Macaca fascicularis: one gene and its partners. The protein of the gene in region 4 interacts with the protein of the main gene of each other region in a pairwise test. Links are inferred from orthologs where the notes say so. Each region holds a gene or a part of one and is shown on either strand. Other genes may lie near its edges. The genes, in order: P4HA3, BTRC, AHSP and ZC3H12A.

Region 1 (4,487 bases), on a different chromosome or scaffold from region 4:
ACTCTAGCCTGGGTGACAGAGCAAGACCCTGTCTCTTAAAAAGCAAACATTTCACTGGGTTTTAGAGCAGTCACTAGAGAACAGAATGATAGAATGCCAGTCTTCAAAATATCAAACTAAACTACAAAATTAAATGTTCGTAAGTCACCTGAGAAAATAATTGGGAACTTTTCTGATTTGTTTTTTATCTAGGCTGTCACAATCCTAGTTAATCCTCAGAGCCAAAAGTGGGGCCTAGTTTCACTAGTTGGTCTTAAAATAAAATAAAATAAAATAAAATAAAATAATAAGCATAAAGGCTTAGCATTTGTCCAGCAATTGTTACATGCCAGGCATAATGATAAATACTTTTACATGGTACTCTTAATCCTTCAACAACCCTATAGTGATAGGTACTGTGTTTATCATCATTTTAAAGATTAGGAAACTAAAGCTCAAAGAGGTAAAGTAACTTGTCCCAGATCAGAGCCAATGATTCAAACAGAGGTCTGTTAAACTCCTGAATTTACCGTTAACCACTATGTACTGTGGCCACTAGTAAAACCTCAATTAGTTAGGGGCTTGGTCTATGTCTTGGTATAACAGATAAAAGAAGCGGTAGGGATAACATAGCATAATAGGAAAAAAGTTGGATAAACAGTCAAAACAACTGTATCCTAGTCCTGGATTTGCTACCTGTTAGATTTATTAATACAATCTTGAATAAGCAACTAGACTTTAGTTTTCTTGGGTTTTAACTGATTTCTCAACAGTTAACAGTGTAATACAAATCTATTTCAAAGCACCGTGTGTGAGAGAGAATCAAATGAGATACGGTTTGTATGAGACCTCCTGCTGCGACAAAGTTGTGGCAATGATAATGGTGGAAAGACAGTGAAAGAGACCAGCATGGCGGAGTGGGGTCGGCCAGCTGCTTTGGCCAAAATGCTCTGAGTGCTCTCTTCTGAGAATGTAACCTGAAAGACCAGCACAGGGATTCTGACCCCCCACTCCCATCTCCATCTGAGCTACCCAAAGAAAGAGATTACTGGTATGAAAACAAGCATGGGTAGCAGGGAGCATGCTGGGCTCTGAAATCAAGCAGAAAAAAGTCTTTCCTATTTCCATCAATAAGCTTGGACTCCAATGACTCTGGGCTATGAACAAAAAGAAGACATTTGACTCAGTCAGCATGGACCCATAGAATACTAGACAACAATGCTATACCAAAAAGTGACAATAGTTATTGAAATGATCTTCATTTATTGTTAAAATTAATACATACCTATATTGTACATTGTCACACTATTTCAAGCTGTTTATATGCAAGCCACATACTTAAGGACAAGCACCAAATTAGCTCATTCAGTCACTATTAACAAGATCTCTCACAAATACTTTCCACCCACAAAATGCTTTTCTTCTACATAGCTCTCTCTCACAGTCATGGGGTCTCAAAGTTTTGCACAGGGTGACAATGGGTTTGGGGGTCACACTGGACCTCAGAGTCACTCCCCATTCCACATACCTTCTTCTCATGTCACCCCAGAATCAGTATTACTATCACATACACTCACGCAAAGTTTTAAAAGCAGTGCATTGTGCCGTCTTAGCTCAATGAGAAGGAGGTCACGTGATAAAGGTACAATATTAATATATCCAAATAGTGACGTGGTCATAACCACTCTGTCAGTGTTGTAGGCTTCTTCATGTCCCAAGCAGAGAAGGCGCAGCACATATTCATACAGATGGTATCATATACAATCATTTATCTTTCATTTTTCTCAGCTGGACACTGCCAAAGTCGATACATGACTATGGTGCCTCAGCATCCCAAGTCTAACAATCTTTTATGCCACAGTGTGTAGCACTAGAGTTTGTTGATTGTATATCAAAACAATATTAGCTGAGCATCCACTGCCGTGTGCTATACTCAATATCTTCTGCATCAAGTATGTTTTTTCACAGTGCTTTTTTGATATCAAATATGTTGACACACATATAACATCTCAGTTATCATTTATTTAGTATTTAGAGAGCTTCTACATGTGTAAGGAGAAGGAAGAACTGAAGACGTAGAGGGCAGTGGACATCTCTGATTCACAGTCATGGTGCTACAGACCCGAACTCCTTGAGGGCAGAGTTGGCTCTTCTTCACCATTTTATCCCCACTACCTGGAACACTGCCTGGCTCTTAGTAGGCACTCAAAAATATGTGTTCTATGAATTAATGAACTGAAGCATTATTCATATAGCGACCTGTACAGTTACTCAGCATCACTCACATGCAGAGTATGATATCCACAGCGTCGTGCCCATCCAGTGCCAATGACATGTAAATCTCACATATGGTGGAAGACTGTCACCTGACTCCTAACACTAAACTTCAGCTCACTAGGTCATGCGGTGTTTCATGATCGCCCCTTGAAAAGTCAATACTTGCATAGCTAAAGCGTCACCATATTTTCTCCATCTCACTCTCACAGTGTCTCTGTCACAGCACCGTCCACTGAGTCTGTGTCAGTGTGACACAGGGCCTGGGGATCATACAGCTTCGCACAGCACATTGTGAGGTCCTTGAGTCACCCCACCCCGCTCTTCCACAGTGCCACCGTGTGTGTTATGGAGTCTGCAGTCCCACACAGTGTGACTCAACCCTCGCCAACACCTCATGCCACGGAGTGTCGGGGTCCCACACACTGTGACAATGGGTCTGGGGGGTCACACTGGCCCTCAGAGCCACTCCCCATCCCACGCCACAATGTCTCAGTCGCACGATGCGACAGTGGGTCTGGGGTCCCACGCAGCATGACAATGAGCCTGGGGTCACACTCAACCTGAGTCACCCCACGTTGCTGCACAGTGTCTCCCACTGAGGCCCCTCGGTCGCTCCCACTCGCCGTGCCCTCACCTAGTCAGGTCCCGCAGCCGCGCCTCCTCCCCGCGCAGGTACCGCCTCAGCAGCCCCAGCAGCCGGCGTTCGGGCCCCAGGGCGCGCGCCACGCTGGTCAGTGCAGAGAACGTGTCGCCCCGCGCAGCAGCCCTTTCTGGGTCTCCTGTCCCGAGCGCCAGCACTGCCAGCAGCGCCGCCAGCCGCGCCCCTGGACCCATCGCCAGCGCTAGCGCACTTCTCAGACAGTCCTGGCCGCGCGGAGCCAGCTGCTCCTGCCCTGGCCTGCCCCGCCCCTTTCCCCGCCCCCTCCCGGCTCAGGCCCCGCCCCCTGGCCCCGGTCAGTCGCCTCCGCAGCCCAGTCTCGCCCCACGCCCCCTGCCTCCTTCCTTGTTTCGACGCGCCTCACCTCGCTCTCTAGCCCTCAGCTCCTCGGAATGCGTGGGGGCTTCCTGCAACATCAGTGTCAGCCGCCCTCCACTAAATCGCGACCCTGTGAAGGTGTTTCCACTGTGCCCATCACACTGGGAGAAATTGAGGCGGGGGCGAGGTGAGCGATGAATTCACAGGTCTAAGGCTGTGACCATCCCCAAATATTGTTAACACCATGCTGACAACATCCCTAAAATATCCGCCCCTCTGTACCATGGAGTGGGAATACACAAACACCACTGGATCCCCACAGAAGAGCCAATTTTGCGTGTGTGAATAGCTGCGCAGGCAAAGAGCGGCAAGAGGGCAGCAGGCAGGAAAACCCTCACAGAGGGCGTGACATCTGAGCCATCTGAAGGATGAGTAGGACTCTGTGAGGATGTGAGTGTATGACAAATCTAGGACTTACAGAACCTGAAACTCTGGGGTCCTGATGTCACTGCTTTACACAATATACCTAGAGTCACTTAGGCAAACAAAAATATTGCTATTATTATAGCCTACTAAGCTACTTACTCTATTTCCCCCCTCTTAATCATTTCCCAGGCAATGTTCATTCATTCAACAAATATTTATTAGCACCTATGTTAATGTGCTGACTACACAGAGAAATAGCAGATCCAATCCTGGACTCAGAGGAGGAGACAGATATGTAAACAAGTAATCACAGTAAAGTGCTGTCAGAGTAACTGAGGGTTGTGCAATGTGCAATGGCAACACTGAAGAAGGAACCCTCATCTAGCGGGTGGAGAGGGCTTCAGAGAGGAGATAATGTGTGCTGGTTCAAAAGCATGAAAAAAATTGGAAGTTGACAGGCAAGGGAGGAGTGGGCTTTCCTGGCAGAAGGTACCTGTGCGTGACAAGGTTTGGAGGTGGAAAACAGTTTGAGTTCCAGAAATGACGAGAAGTTCCTTGTGCTTGAAACTATCAGATTGCGAAGGGCCTTTGCATGCCATACTAAGAAATTTAGGTGCTTTTCCTCTATGAAAATCCAGTGGAAGTTTTTAAGGTGGTAATAATTGTAGTAACAATGGCAATAGTAAACACAGCAGTTAATACTTACTGAGTGTTTCCTGTGTGGCAGGGGCCATCCAGAGTATTTTACATATATTAACTCATTTAATTGCTGTCCAGAGTATTTTATATGTATTAACTCATTTAATTCTCATGCTGACCTTACAGCCTA
Region 2 (3,876 bases), on a different chromosome or scaffold from region 4:
GGATCACCTGAGGTTGGGAGTTCGAGAACAGCCTGACCAAAATGGAGAAACCCTGTCTTTACTAAAAATACAGAATTAGCTGGGCGTGGTGATGTGTACCTGTAATCCCAGCTACTCAGGAGGCTGAGGCAGGAGAATCACTTGAACCTGGGAGGCAGAGGTTGCAGTGAGCTGAGATCATGCCATTGCACTCCAGCCTGGGCAACAAGACAAACACTGTCTCAAAACAAACAAAAAAAAGAATCTTGGAGACCATCTTAGAATTTTGCCTATGACAATAACATATATTTTTTTCCTGTTCCTTTATCCTGCTTTATTTTTCTTCATAGCACTACCTACATTATATTTTCTAAGTATTTGCTTGTATTTTGTTTGTTTGTTTGTTTTGGGGGACAGAGTCTCGCCCTGTTGCCCAGGCTGGAGGGAAGTGGTGCAATCTCAGCTCACTGCAACCTCTGCCTCCCAGGTTCAAGCTATTCTCCTGCCTCAGCCTCCTGAGTAGCTGGGATTACAAGTGTAAGCTACTGCGCCTGGCTGCTTGTGTTTTTAATGTGCCTTTTACACTAAGAGTATATGTTAGTGATGTTAGAGACTGTCATTTTTGTTGTTATATTCCTAGTACCAAGGACAGTGTTGGGCACATTGTAGGTGCTCAGTAAATACTTATTGAATGAGTCAATTAATAAAAAAGACTGCATGGGAAATACAGAATATTTTATTTTATGGAAAAGGGTAGATTGAGCATATGAGTGTTATTTTAGCTTTATGTTCAAAAAGGTACCACAGAGTCTCAGAATATTCTTTGGTTTCTCTTTCCATAAAGGACTTCTTATTTAACAATTAAAAACCAAGTTGTTGGCTGGGCACAGTGGCTATTGCCTGTAATCCCAGCACTTTGGGAGGCTGAAGCAGGCAGATCATTTGAGGTCAGGAGTTCAAGACCAGCCTGTCCAACATGGTGAAACCCTGTCTCTACTAAAAATATAAAACTTAGCCAGGTGTGGTGGTGGGCACCTGTAGTCCCAATACTTGGGAGGCTGAGGCAGGAGAATCACTTGATTCTCCACCTGGGAGGTGGAAGTTGCAGTGAGCCAAGATTGTGCCAGTGCACTCCAGCCTGGGCAACAGAGCAAGACTCTGTCTAAAAAAAAAAAAGCTGTGATGACAGGGCACAATGGCTCACACCTGTAATCCCAGCACTTTGAAAAGCCAAGGCAGGAAAATTGCTTGAAGCCAGGAGTTTGAGACCAGCCTGGGCAACAAAAGAAGACTCCATCTGTACAAAAAAAATTTAAAAATTAGCTGTACATGGTAGTTTGCACCAATATAGTCTCAGCTACTCTGGAGGCTAAGGTGGGAGGATCGCTTGAGCCCAGGAGCTAGAGGCTGCAGTGAGCTATGATCTATCTCACCACTGCACTCCAGCCTGGGTGATAGAGTGAGACCTTGTCTCAAAAAAAAGTTGTGAGCAAGTAATTGTATAACTGTCCAACAACTGTTGTATACAAGAAAAAGCAAATTAGATTTTTGGCTTGCTAGTAATAACATGCTTTCAGCTTTCAGTTTTTATTTGTGTATGTTCAAGTATTAAGAATGTCTTCTGCAAACTTTTGGAAATGGATGCTTAGTCTTCTGGCGTTATAGCTGATTTACCAACTTTGTATGGTGTTTCTGTGGTTTTCCACGTAATTGCTAATAGAATAACAGAGTCGGCTCAATCGTGTAGACATAACATAGCATGCCATACCAGAAAATCGTGTATATTTCCCTCATTTTCAATACTAATCGTTTTGTTTCTTTTAACCCCCTTCTATAGACAAAACTTGCCAATGGCACTTCCAGTATGATTGTGCCCAAGCAACGGAAACTCTCGGCAAGCTATGAAAAGGAAAAGGAACTGTGTGTCAAATACTTTGAGCAGTGGTCAGAGTCAGATCAAGTGGAATTTGTGGAACATCTTATATCCCAAATGTGTCATTACCAACATGGGCACATAAACTCGTATCTTAAACCTATGTTGCAGAGAGATTTCATAACTGCTTTGCCAGGTATGTCTACAAGTGTTTGTAAATCATGAATTTGCTGTGATGATAACAGAACTAAATCTCTAGCTATGTATCTGTCTTTAAAAGTCTTTATTGGCTTGATTTTTACAAATTAAGTTCCTTAACTGTACTTTTTGGTGTAAAGCTTTTTTTTTTTTTTTTTTTTTTTTTTTGAGACGGAGTCTTGCTCTGTAGCCCAGGCTGGAGTGCAGTGGTGTGATCTTGGCTCACTGCAAGCTCCGCCTCCCGGGTTCACGCCATTCTCCTGCCTCAGCCTCCTGAGTAGCTGGGACTAGAAGCGCCCGCCACCATGCCCGGCTAATTTTTTGTGTTTTTAGTAGAGACAGGGTTTCACCGTGTTAGCCAGGATGGTCTCAATCTCCTGACCTTGTGATCGTCCCGCCTCGGCCTCCCAAAGTGCTAGGATTACAGGCATGAGCCGCTGCGCTCGGCTGGTATAAAGCTTTTAAAAAAACAAACTCTAGAAATAAAGACTCTTTTTTTTTTTTTTTTTTTTGAGGCAGAGTCTCACTTTGTCACCTAGACTGGAGTGAGTGCAGTGGCATGATCTTGGCTCATTGCAACCTCTGCCTCCCAGGTTCAGGCAATTCTCCTGCCTCAGCCTCCCGAGTAGCTGGGACTACAGGCACCTGACACCATGCCTGGCTAATTTTTGTATTTTTAGTAGAGGCAGGGTTTCACCATATTGGCCAGGCTGATCTTGAACTCTTGACCTCCAATGATTCACCCGCCTCAGCCTCCCAAAGTGCTGGGATTACAGGCATGAGCCACCGCGCCCAGCCGAGACTCCTTTTATCCTATCTTCTTACTCATGCCCTTCTATTCAACCTATTTTTACCCATACATAGGTCCAAATAAAATCTTTTCTGAGGTGTTACCTGATGTAAGTTGTGTCTTTTATAATATGTCTTAGTTTCAAGATATGTTTATGTACTTGGATTTGTATTTCTATGAGAATATATCAACAGAATATTGAAATTCTACAGATGAATAAAAAACATTTTTAATTGAAGTTTTTAGAAAGAAGGCTATCTCATAAGCCTCGTTGTGGTGTTAAATAAATAAATATAAAATGATATGTAAAATCCTTTTTTTGGAGGGTGCTGTGGTTTTTCTAAATGCTTATTTTTGGAAGGGCTTATTTTCCTGACATAGTATTCCCCCCAAATACTGACACCTAGAACACTTCCAAGGTGTCAGTGTTTGGGGGGAATGCTATGTCAGGAAGATAAGATTCTTGTGTATTCAAAGTTTATTTTAAGAGGAAAAAATCATACCAACTTGAATGAATCTTATCTTAAATGTCATATCTTGTTAGGGGAGGGGGTGTTGTTGTTTTCCAGTTACAGAAGTTACAGGGAACTTAGAAAATATTTAAAAACATTTCCCCCCAGCATTCAGAAAGAACTACTGATTTGCTATATTATTAATATTTTGGCAGGTAGCCTTTCTGTTTTGTCTAGGTATGTGTTTTTTTTTTCCTATAAAGCTTTGATCATAAATGTTTTGTGACCATTTTTCTGAATACATTCTCTTCATGTATTTTTCTGAATGTGTGTTCTTTTCAATTGTTGCATAATATTCTTTACAATGGTTGAAGCACATACTATTTAACCCCTTTATTGAACATTTAGGTAGTTTCAAAATTTTTTCCTATTATAAACCATGTGATGATGAATTTTTATACATTAATCTTGTGGGAATCCTACGGAAAAAAATACAGACATGGAATCGCTATATATTAAGGAATATGAACATTTTTAAAGGCTTTTAATACATGGTGCCAAACTATCCCCTGATAAAAATATAC
Region 3 (3,284 bases), on a different chromosome or scaffold from region 4:
TGATCCGCCTGCCTTGACCTCCCAAAGTGCTGGGATCACAGATGTGAGCCACCGTGTCTGGCTGGTAACACATACTTTCCACCCTATATAAATGAAAACATGTTCACATGGAAACCTGTACACAAACGTTTATAGCAACTCTATTCACACTTGCCCCAAAGTGCAAACAATCTAGATGTCCTTCCGTGGCTGAATGAACAAACTACAGTGCGTCCATACAACGCACTGTGTGCACTGACACTTGCAATAACTTGGATGGAGTTCAAGAACATCATGCTGACCAAAAAACGCCAGCCTCAAAGGTTACAGACTGTATGATTCCATTTATATGACATCCTGAAAAAGACTTAACTGTAGTGATGAACAGATAAGTGGTTGCCAGAAGTTATGGGTGACGGGAGGGGTGGCTACAAAAGGGTAACATGAAGGAGTGGTTTTTGGGTTATGGAAACATTCTGTATCTTAACCGCGGTTGTAGGCCGGATGCAGTGGCTCACACCTGTCATCCCAGCACTTTGGGAAGTGGGTGGATCACTTGAGGTCAGGAGTTCGAGACTAGCCTGGCCAACATGATGAAACCCCATCTCTACTAAAATACAAAAATTAGCTAGGCGTGGTAGTGCACGCCTGTAATCCCAGCTACTTGGGAGGCTGAGGCAGGAGAATCGCCTGAACCTGGGAGGTAAAGTTTGCAGTGAGCCGAGATCGCGTTACTGCACTCCAGCCTGGGCCACAGAGGGAGACTCCCTCTCAAAAAAAAAAAAAAAAAAAATTAATAAATTGTACACCAAAAGGAAGTCAGTTTTGCTGTATATTGATTTTAAAATGCTACAACCAAAAAGGCAAATCAACAAAACTTTATGAGTGTATAGGTACCTATGAATGTTGGGTTTTGAATGGAAAAAAAAAGTGACAGGAAATATACCATGTTTAATGCTGGTTACTTTGGAGGGGGCAAAAATGATTGTTTTTCAGTGTATGTTTTTGTATTTTTTTAATTATTTAAATTAGTATATAGTGATTTTGAAATTTGAGAAACATCTATTGAAAATGGAAAATACCAGGAAAAATATTTAAAAAGAAGAAAAAGAGTATTTCTGCTTTATTGGATACCTGTTGAGGGGGTAGTGAAGAAGACAAATGCATCTCCTTCGCCTTGTTGGAGTGCTGTGGCATGATCTTGGCCCACTGCAACCTTTGCCTCCTGGGTTCAAGTGATTCTTGTGCCTCAGATTCCCAAGCAGCTGAAACTACAGGCACCCACCACCACGCCCGGCTATTCATCTCCATTCTTGTGGAGTGCAGCATGGTGGAGTTCGGTCTACATGCTTACAGATGGCTTATCTGCAACATGTGTCTAAAAAGAAATTTTATAGGATAAATATTTTATACGTTTGAAACAGTGCTTGGCGCAAATGAATAGATGTAATGCAAGCTGCTATTAATACATCATCTCTGAATTGAGAGAATAATTGCCATCACATCGTTGTGATTACACAAAAGCCTCCGTCATGTAATAAGGCTCAGTAAATGTCAATTTCCATAGAATTTCAAGCCTGCATACTAAATATGGGGCCAAGGGCAACGACATGTCCCTGGTTTGACTCTTGCATTCTTGGTTTCCTGGGTTTCCTCATTTATCTTTTTTTTTTTTTTGGCCTTGTTATCTTTCTACCTTCAGGGAAGCCTCTCCCTTCTTCTCCTCCCCAGAATGACCTATCACCCTCTTTCAGGACCTAGATGCAGGGCGTTTCTATCTTAGGCTGACATTTGACTCATTGCCTACATCTAGAGCTTGGCACAGAGCGATTCACGCACCCTCAAGAGTGTGGGTGAGACATATACACCCTGTTAGACCTGAAGGTGAGCCCAACCTGGGAAAATCGTGACCTCAGAGCAGAGCAGGATGTGAAAGGTTTTGGAAAGGAGGTGGCCCTGCAGGGCAGGAGGAATTTTTAAGGGGCGGAAGCAGACTGGGGGAAATACCCAGTGAGGAGGGAAACGGATATGTCAATTCTACCCTTTTCTCTACCCAGGCAGATGGCTCTTCTTAAGGCCAATAAGGATCTCATTTCTGCAGGACGGCAGGAGTTCGGCGCTCTGCTGAATCAGCAGGTGAGTTCAGGCTTTCGTTTCAAAGGACTGGCCTGGAGACTGGGGGGTGCTGGGGAAGTGGAGGATGAGGGCAGAAAACAGAGGATAACTGGAGCTGATGAAGTAATGGTGGAATTGCTGGAAACAATGAGAGACACGGGATACAATGCAGAGGAAGGAGGATGTGAGAGCTGGTGCCGTGGCACTATTCTGGGTATTCCTGAATCCCACTGCTGACCACATTCTCCCTTGCCAACTGCCTCTCCGCAACCCCCCAGGTCTTCAATGATCCTCTCATCTCTGAAGAAGACATGGTGACTGTGGTGGAGGACTGGATGAACTTCTACATCAACTATTACAGGCAGCAGGTGACAGGGGAGCCCCAAGAACGAGACAGGGCTCTGCAGGAGCTTCGGCAAGAGCTGAACACTCTGGCCAACCCTTTCCTGGCCAAGTACAGGGACTTCCTGAAGTCTCATGAGCTCCGGAGTCACCCACCGCTCTCCTCCTAGCCCAGGGACCCAGCCCCTCCTCTCTGAGAAACTCTGACCTTCATGTCCTTAGGCTGTGCTCCCGCCACTCTACACTGACACCTCAATAAAGACCAGTGCTGGTTTTGTTGGACTTCCTGGCTTCTCTTTCATGGTCTGACCTGACATGTGGAGGCAGTCGGTCCCTTTCCTTCCGCCCTCCTTCTTAGATATGCTCTTGGAAGCTTAATTCCTTAGAGCAGAGGTTAGCAGCCTTAAGTGAACACTGGGCAGCGATTCTAAACTAAAACAGGCTGAATGAGGGCCAGGAAGGCAGGACTAGAGAGAGTGCGGAGGCGCGGGGGAGGGGGTGGCAGAAACAAGAAAGGGGGATAGAAGCCCTCCAGACGTTGTCCTGTGACCTGCTTGTCGAGGAGGAAACTGCTGGAAGTCTCCCAGTCTTGTTCATCCTGCGCCAGGTCCACCGCCTCGACTTTTCAATCCCCTGTCCTTAGCTCCAGCTCAAACAACATTCTAGGATCTTCGGACTCTGACTACCGCAGAATACCTCCCCGGAGGCCCGAGCATCTTAGGAATTTAGAGTTGTAAGGGATCTTGAGAACCCTTCAGCGCGCCACTTAGGTTTCAAGCCAGGGAGCCCCTTCCCTTTGGCTCCAACATCCCTGGGCGCAGATGCCAGGATTGGGAAGCAGAGGAGCC
Region 4 (3,876 bases):
GGCCTCTTCCACACCCCAGCCCCTCCCTTGGCCCGGCATAGTTTGCTGCCTGAAGACCAAGAACATCTGAGCACAGGTGGCAGGGCCTGCATGGCAAAGGCTCCAAGCACAGAGCTGGCCTTGCTCCTTTTCTCTCTCTGGACATCAGGCCTGTTCAAGCCAGATGTGGTCTTGGCTTTGGCTTTCATCCAGCCTGTTCTGAGGGGTCCGTGAATGAGCCCCAGCTTGCTCTGGGGTGGGAGAAGTATTTTGGCTCTGTCCCTTGCATTGCCAGGACAAGGTTGCTAAATCCCATGGTGGGGAAAGGTCAGGCCACTCACCAGGCCCCACCTGGGGAGCTGCTGGGACCACAGGGACACAGATGTGAGCAAGTGGAAAGGGCCCCTCTTCCTGGAGCCTGTAGCCCCAGACAGCCTGCCCCCAGATCTCAAGACTTCTAGAGAAACGGATTCAGTTTTTACCTCCAAAAGCTGGGGGCTCTTGCAAGAACAGTGGTAACAGCTAACATACACTGAACGTCTACCACGTGCCAGGTACTCTTCTCAGCACTTAACCATGTGTTAACTTATACAATCTCATGAGGAAGGAGCTGCTGTCAACACCCCCCGCCGACACTGACCCCATGTTTCAGATGAGGAGCACGTGGAGCGGGGCTAACAGAGATCCCTGCCCAGGCCAGGGCGCCAGGAGGGGACAGAGCCAGGATTCCAACTCTGGTTGTCTTGACTCAGAGCCCACAGGCTTAACCACTATGTGGCACTGCCCCTCTACCACTGGGGAGGTTGAAAGAGTGACCCGCCCACCAGTAGGATGAGGGAGGGGCCCCACATCTGAGGCAGAAGACTAGACAAGGTGACCTCCAATGACCACTGTTCAGAGCAGGTTGCTAAGGACAGAAAAAACTGAGAAAAGAAATGCTGGTCCCTGCTTGAGTTCTAGAAGTTAGGCCACTCCCAGAGGGTCTCTCTTGGGGAGAACCAGGGCTGCTGGGGCAGTAATACCATCCCACCTCCAGAGGCAGCACTCACCTGTGATGGGCACATCGGGCCGAGGCTGCTCCTTCCTCCAGGATGGCACAAACACTGTGATGTCTGTGTGGCCCCGCTCCAGAAACCAGTTCACCGCCAGCAGGATGCCCCGGCAGGAGAAGACCTCCTTGTTCCCATGGCTGGGAGGGAGAGGAGGACAGGGTTAGCCCACACTGATGGCCAGCCTGCCACCCCCTAGGCCTGAGCAGGAGGAGGGGGGCTGTCATACCCCACCCCTGCCCTGGCTTTGGTGGTGGTGGTGAGCAGCCCCTTCCCCTTTGGAATCACCAGCCCCTTCCTCTTTCCCCAGGGCTCAGGCCCTGGCCCTCTGCAGGTGGGGCCCAAGGCCAAGGCCTCCATTCCCAGTGCCAGTTCCCACAACTCCAGGATGGCCAGGCCCCGCTGGGACTTTCCCTGAGGCTCCATCTCCTGAAAGTGAGGAAGCGCCCAGGAAGCTGGCAGCACTGCTCCCCACGGTGGGGGAGGGCCAGGCCACTTGCAACACACCTGGGGGTGGGGGAAAGGTGCCGGGAGACTTCTGGTTCCTGCCCCACCCGGCGAGCTGCCGGGACCACAGGGACAGACGTACACATGCACACTGAGTCACCACCCCTCCCTCGCCTCTTGCAGCATGGGTGGGGGCGGGGGAAGCACCGGCTGGGCTGACTGAGGAGAAACCAGATTGTTCCGGATTAAAGTTCAGTCCTCACACACACCTCAGGGACTGGGGCCTGAGAAGGGCAAAGGGGAAGGGGCTGGCGACTCCAGCCTTCAGTGTGGGACAGAAAGTGCCAGAGTGGAGCAGGCTCCCCTTTCAGTCTGAAAGTGAAAGGATACTGCTTTTCCTCCCAAGATGGCAATCCCCCCAAACGCCTGTTCACCCCAAGGCTGAAAGACCATCAGGAAGACGCCGGGGGACTCTTAGTAAGGACAGCTGAGTGAGGCACGGGCCCTGCCTTGGTCTCAGACCAGGCCGTACCCCACCCACAGGTGGCTGCACCCAGAAGGGCGCCTGGCGGGGCTCCTGGGCTGCTGCAGCTCTCCATTCCTCTATCTGAAAACGGGCCCAGCAGTCTGCAGTGTCCTTAAGACGGGTCAGTCAGCTTTCCTGGTGGCTTCAGGCCAAAGATGGCCCTGCAAAGTAGGGGTTCCAGCTGGATTTCCTGGGGGACGGAGGACTGGGGCTTGGGGCTCCCAGGTAACACTAAGTGTCATGGAAGAGCTCCTAGGACCAGCAGCCCCACCTCTCACTGCCCCCTCAGTGAACAGCTTAGACTCTCATATTTGGCAAATAAAACAGAATAAATGTTACGCAAAAGAGGCAAGTCCAGGGCCGACCACATCCTGTGGGTGTCTTTAATGGGAGTGGGGGAGGTAAGGGGTGATAGCTGGAGCCTTAAGAGAAGGTAAGGCAGCTGGGGGCCATGGAGGCTGTTTGGGGGCAAGGCTGGGGCACCAGGGTCTGAAGGTCTCTAAATTGTAGGGGAGACAAAGTCCAGCCCAGGGCAGCACTCATCCTCCCCTGGTCCCCCTGCCCCATCTGCCAGCCTGCTTATAAGAAAAGTTCCCATTTGCTGAGAGCTGTGAACCAGGCCCTGTTCTAAGCACCTAACACTGAATCATCAGCAAGCTTGTGAGGAGGGCACTATACCACCATCATCCCCTTCCCTGTTTTTCAGATGAAAACTGTGGTCCAGAGAAGGCAGCTTAGTCACCAGGGTCACACAGCAGTAACGGTGGAACAGCGATGCAGGCCCAGGACCTGTGCCTATCACCACCCTGTACATTAATGCTCAGGTAGGTATAAAGGCAGACAGACCCTGATCACAGGGAATGAGCAGGGATTCGCAGGCACCGAGCTCCCACTGGCAGCCAAATATATGGCTTCATTCTTACAGGGCTTGCTACTGTGAAGGAAAGGAAGGCTCTGGGACTCGTCCAAGGTCACCTGGCTAGTGGTAAGAGACATTCAGAACTGGAACCCAGGTCTGGGCCACTTGGTTGCCTTCCTGTCTCTAACAGAAGACCCAGAATTTATTTGGGAGAACAAAGCTCCCAAAATTAAGTTTAAACAAAGTGTGTTCTAAGAGACAGGCGGCGAAAGGGAGAAACAATGCTGGGGGCAAACTCCTGCTCTTCCTTCAAAATGCTTGTGAGATGTCACTGCCTCTGAGAAGCCTTCCCTGACCTGCCACAATGGGTCAGGTCCCTGGTCTGTGTCTTCACAATGCCCAGTGCTTCCCCCATCACATCATCCCCTTCCCTGGGCCTTCTGCCCTGCCTCTCAAAACCGTGGCAGCTGGGTCACCCCAGGCCCAGCTCCTTCTCTCAGGTATGCAGTGTGCGCATGTATCCACCCACCCGCCTCCCTCCGGGCACGTGATCCTAGGCTGGTATCTTGGAGCCTTGGGAACTAATGGGATGCCAGGGCTCCCAGGGCAGTGCACTGCCTCTGGGCATTGAAAATCTTGGCTGGGGACAAGTCGGTCCTCAGCAGCCCTAGCACCTGAATATTCCCTCAGCAGATGGAAAAACTGTGATCAGTGGGTGCTATCAGAGCCCTCTTGGTACAGCACATGAGGCCTGGAGTGCCCCCCTACAGCTAGCTTTAGTCTGTTTCACTGCACTGGAGGAAGCGCTGCTGGCACAGGAAAACCAGACATCCCTGCCCCCACCCCAGTCCTCTTTGCCCGTAAGGTCAGGGTCCCCCAGCCTGGCGAAGCAGACACTGATAGGAAGTGTGTGTAGAAGACTCCAGCTAGACTGCTCCTGCCCCAGGACAGAGGGCAGGGCTGGGCCAGCCTCCCCAGGTGAAAAGATATGCCTGGGCTGGGCCTGGTGAGTGGAG

Evidence for each region.
Region 1: the proteins of ZC3H12A (region 4) and P4HA3 interact in binary tests that used the Homo sapiens proteins (3 or more experiments, as listed by UniProt). The two-hybrid records come from large-scale screens. The link is inferred for Macaca fascicularis from reciprocal best matches to the Homo sapiens genes ZC3H12A and P4HA3.
Region 2: the proteins of ZC3H12A (region 4) and BTRC interact in binary tests that used the Homo sapiens proteins (3 or more experiments, as listed by UniProt). The link is inferred for Macaca fascicularis from reciprocal best matches to the Homo sapiens genes ZC3H12A and BTRC.
Region 3: the proteins of ZC3H12A (region 4) and AHSP interact in binary tests that used the Homo sapiens proteins (3 or more experiments, as listed by UniProt). The two-hybrid records come from large-scale screens. The link is inferred for Macaca fascicularis from reciprocal best matches to the Homo sapiens genes ZC3H12A and AHSP.

What each region holds. Positions count from the first base shown.
Region 1 is NC_088388.1:73,182,350-73,186,836, forward strand, and holds the start of P4HA3 (prolyl 4-hydroxylase subunit alpha-3), read right to left. Parts: upstream 3,113-4,487; 5' UTR 3,091-3,112; coding exon 2,891-3,090; intron 1-2,890. UniProt on the Homo sapiens protein: Catalyzes the post-translational formation of 4-hydroxyproline in -Xaa-Pro-Gly- sequences in collagens and other proteins.
Region 2 is NC_088383.1:110,491,657-110,495,532, forward strand, and holds part of BTRC (F-box/WD repeat-containing protein 1A), read left to right. Parts: intron 1-1,816; coding exon 1,817-2,048; intron 2,049-3,876. UniProt on the Homo sapiens protein: Substrate recognition component of a SCF (SKP1-CUL1-F-box protein) E3 ubiquitin-protein ligase complex which mediates the ubiquitination and subsequent proteasomal degradation of target proteins. Recognizes and binds to phosphorylated target proteins.
Region 3 is NC_088394.1:29,732,090-29,735,373, forward strand, and holds AHSP (alpha-hemoglobin-stabilizing protein), read left to right. Parts: upstream 1-1,797; 5' UTR 1,798-1,915; intron 1,916-2,036; 5' UTR 2,037-2,040; coding exon 2,041-2,115; intron 2,116-2,372; coding exon 2,373-2,606; 3' UTR 2,607-2,718; downstream 2,719-3,284. UniProt on the Homo sapiens protein: Acts as a chaperone to prevent the harmful aggregation of alpha-hemoglobin during normal erythroid cell development. Specifically protects free alpha-hemoglobin from precipitation.
Region 4 is NC_088375.1:197,447,754-197,451,629, forward strand, and holds part of ZC3H12A (endoribonuclease ZC3H12A), read right to left. Parts: intron 1,169-3,876; coding exon 1,029-1,168; intron 1-1,028. UniProt on the Homo sapiens protein: Endoribonuclease involved in various biological functions such as cellular inflammatory response and immune homeostasis, glial differentiation of neuroprogenitor cells, cell death of cardiomyocytes, adipogenesis and angiogenesis.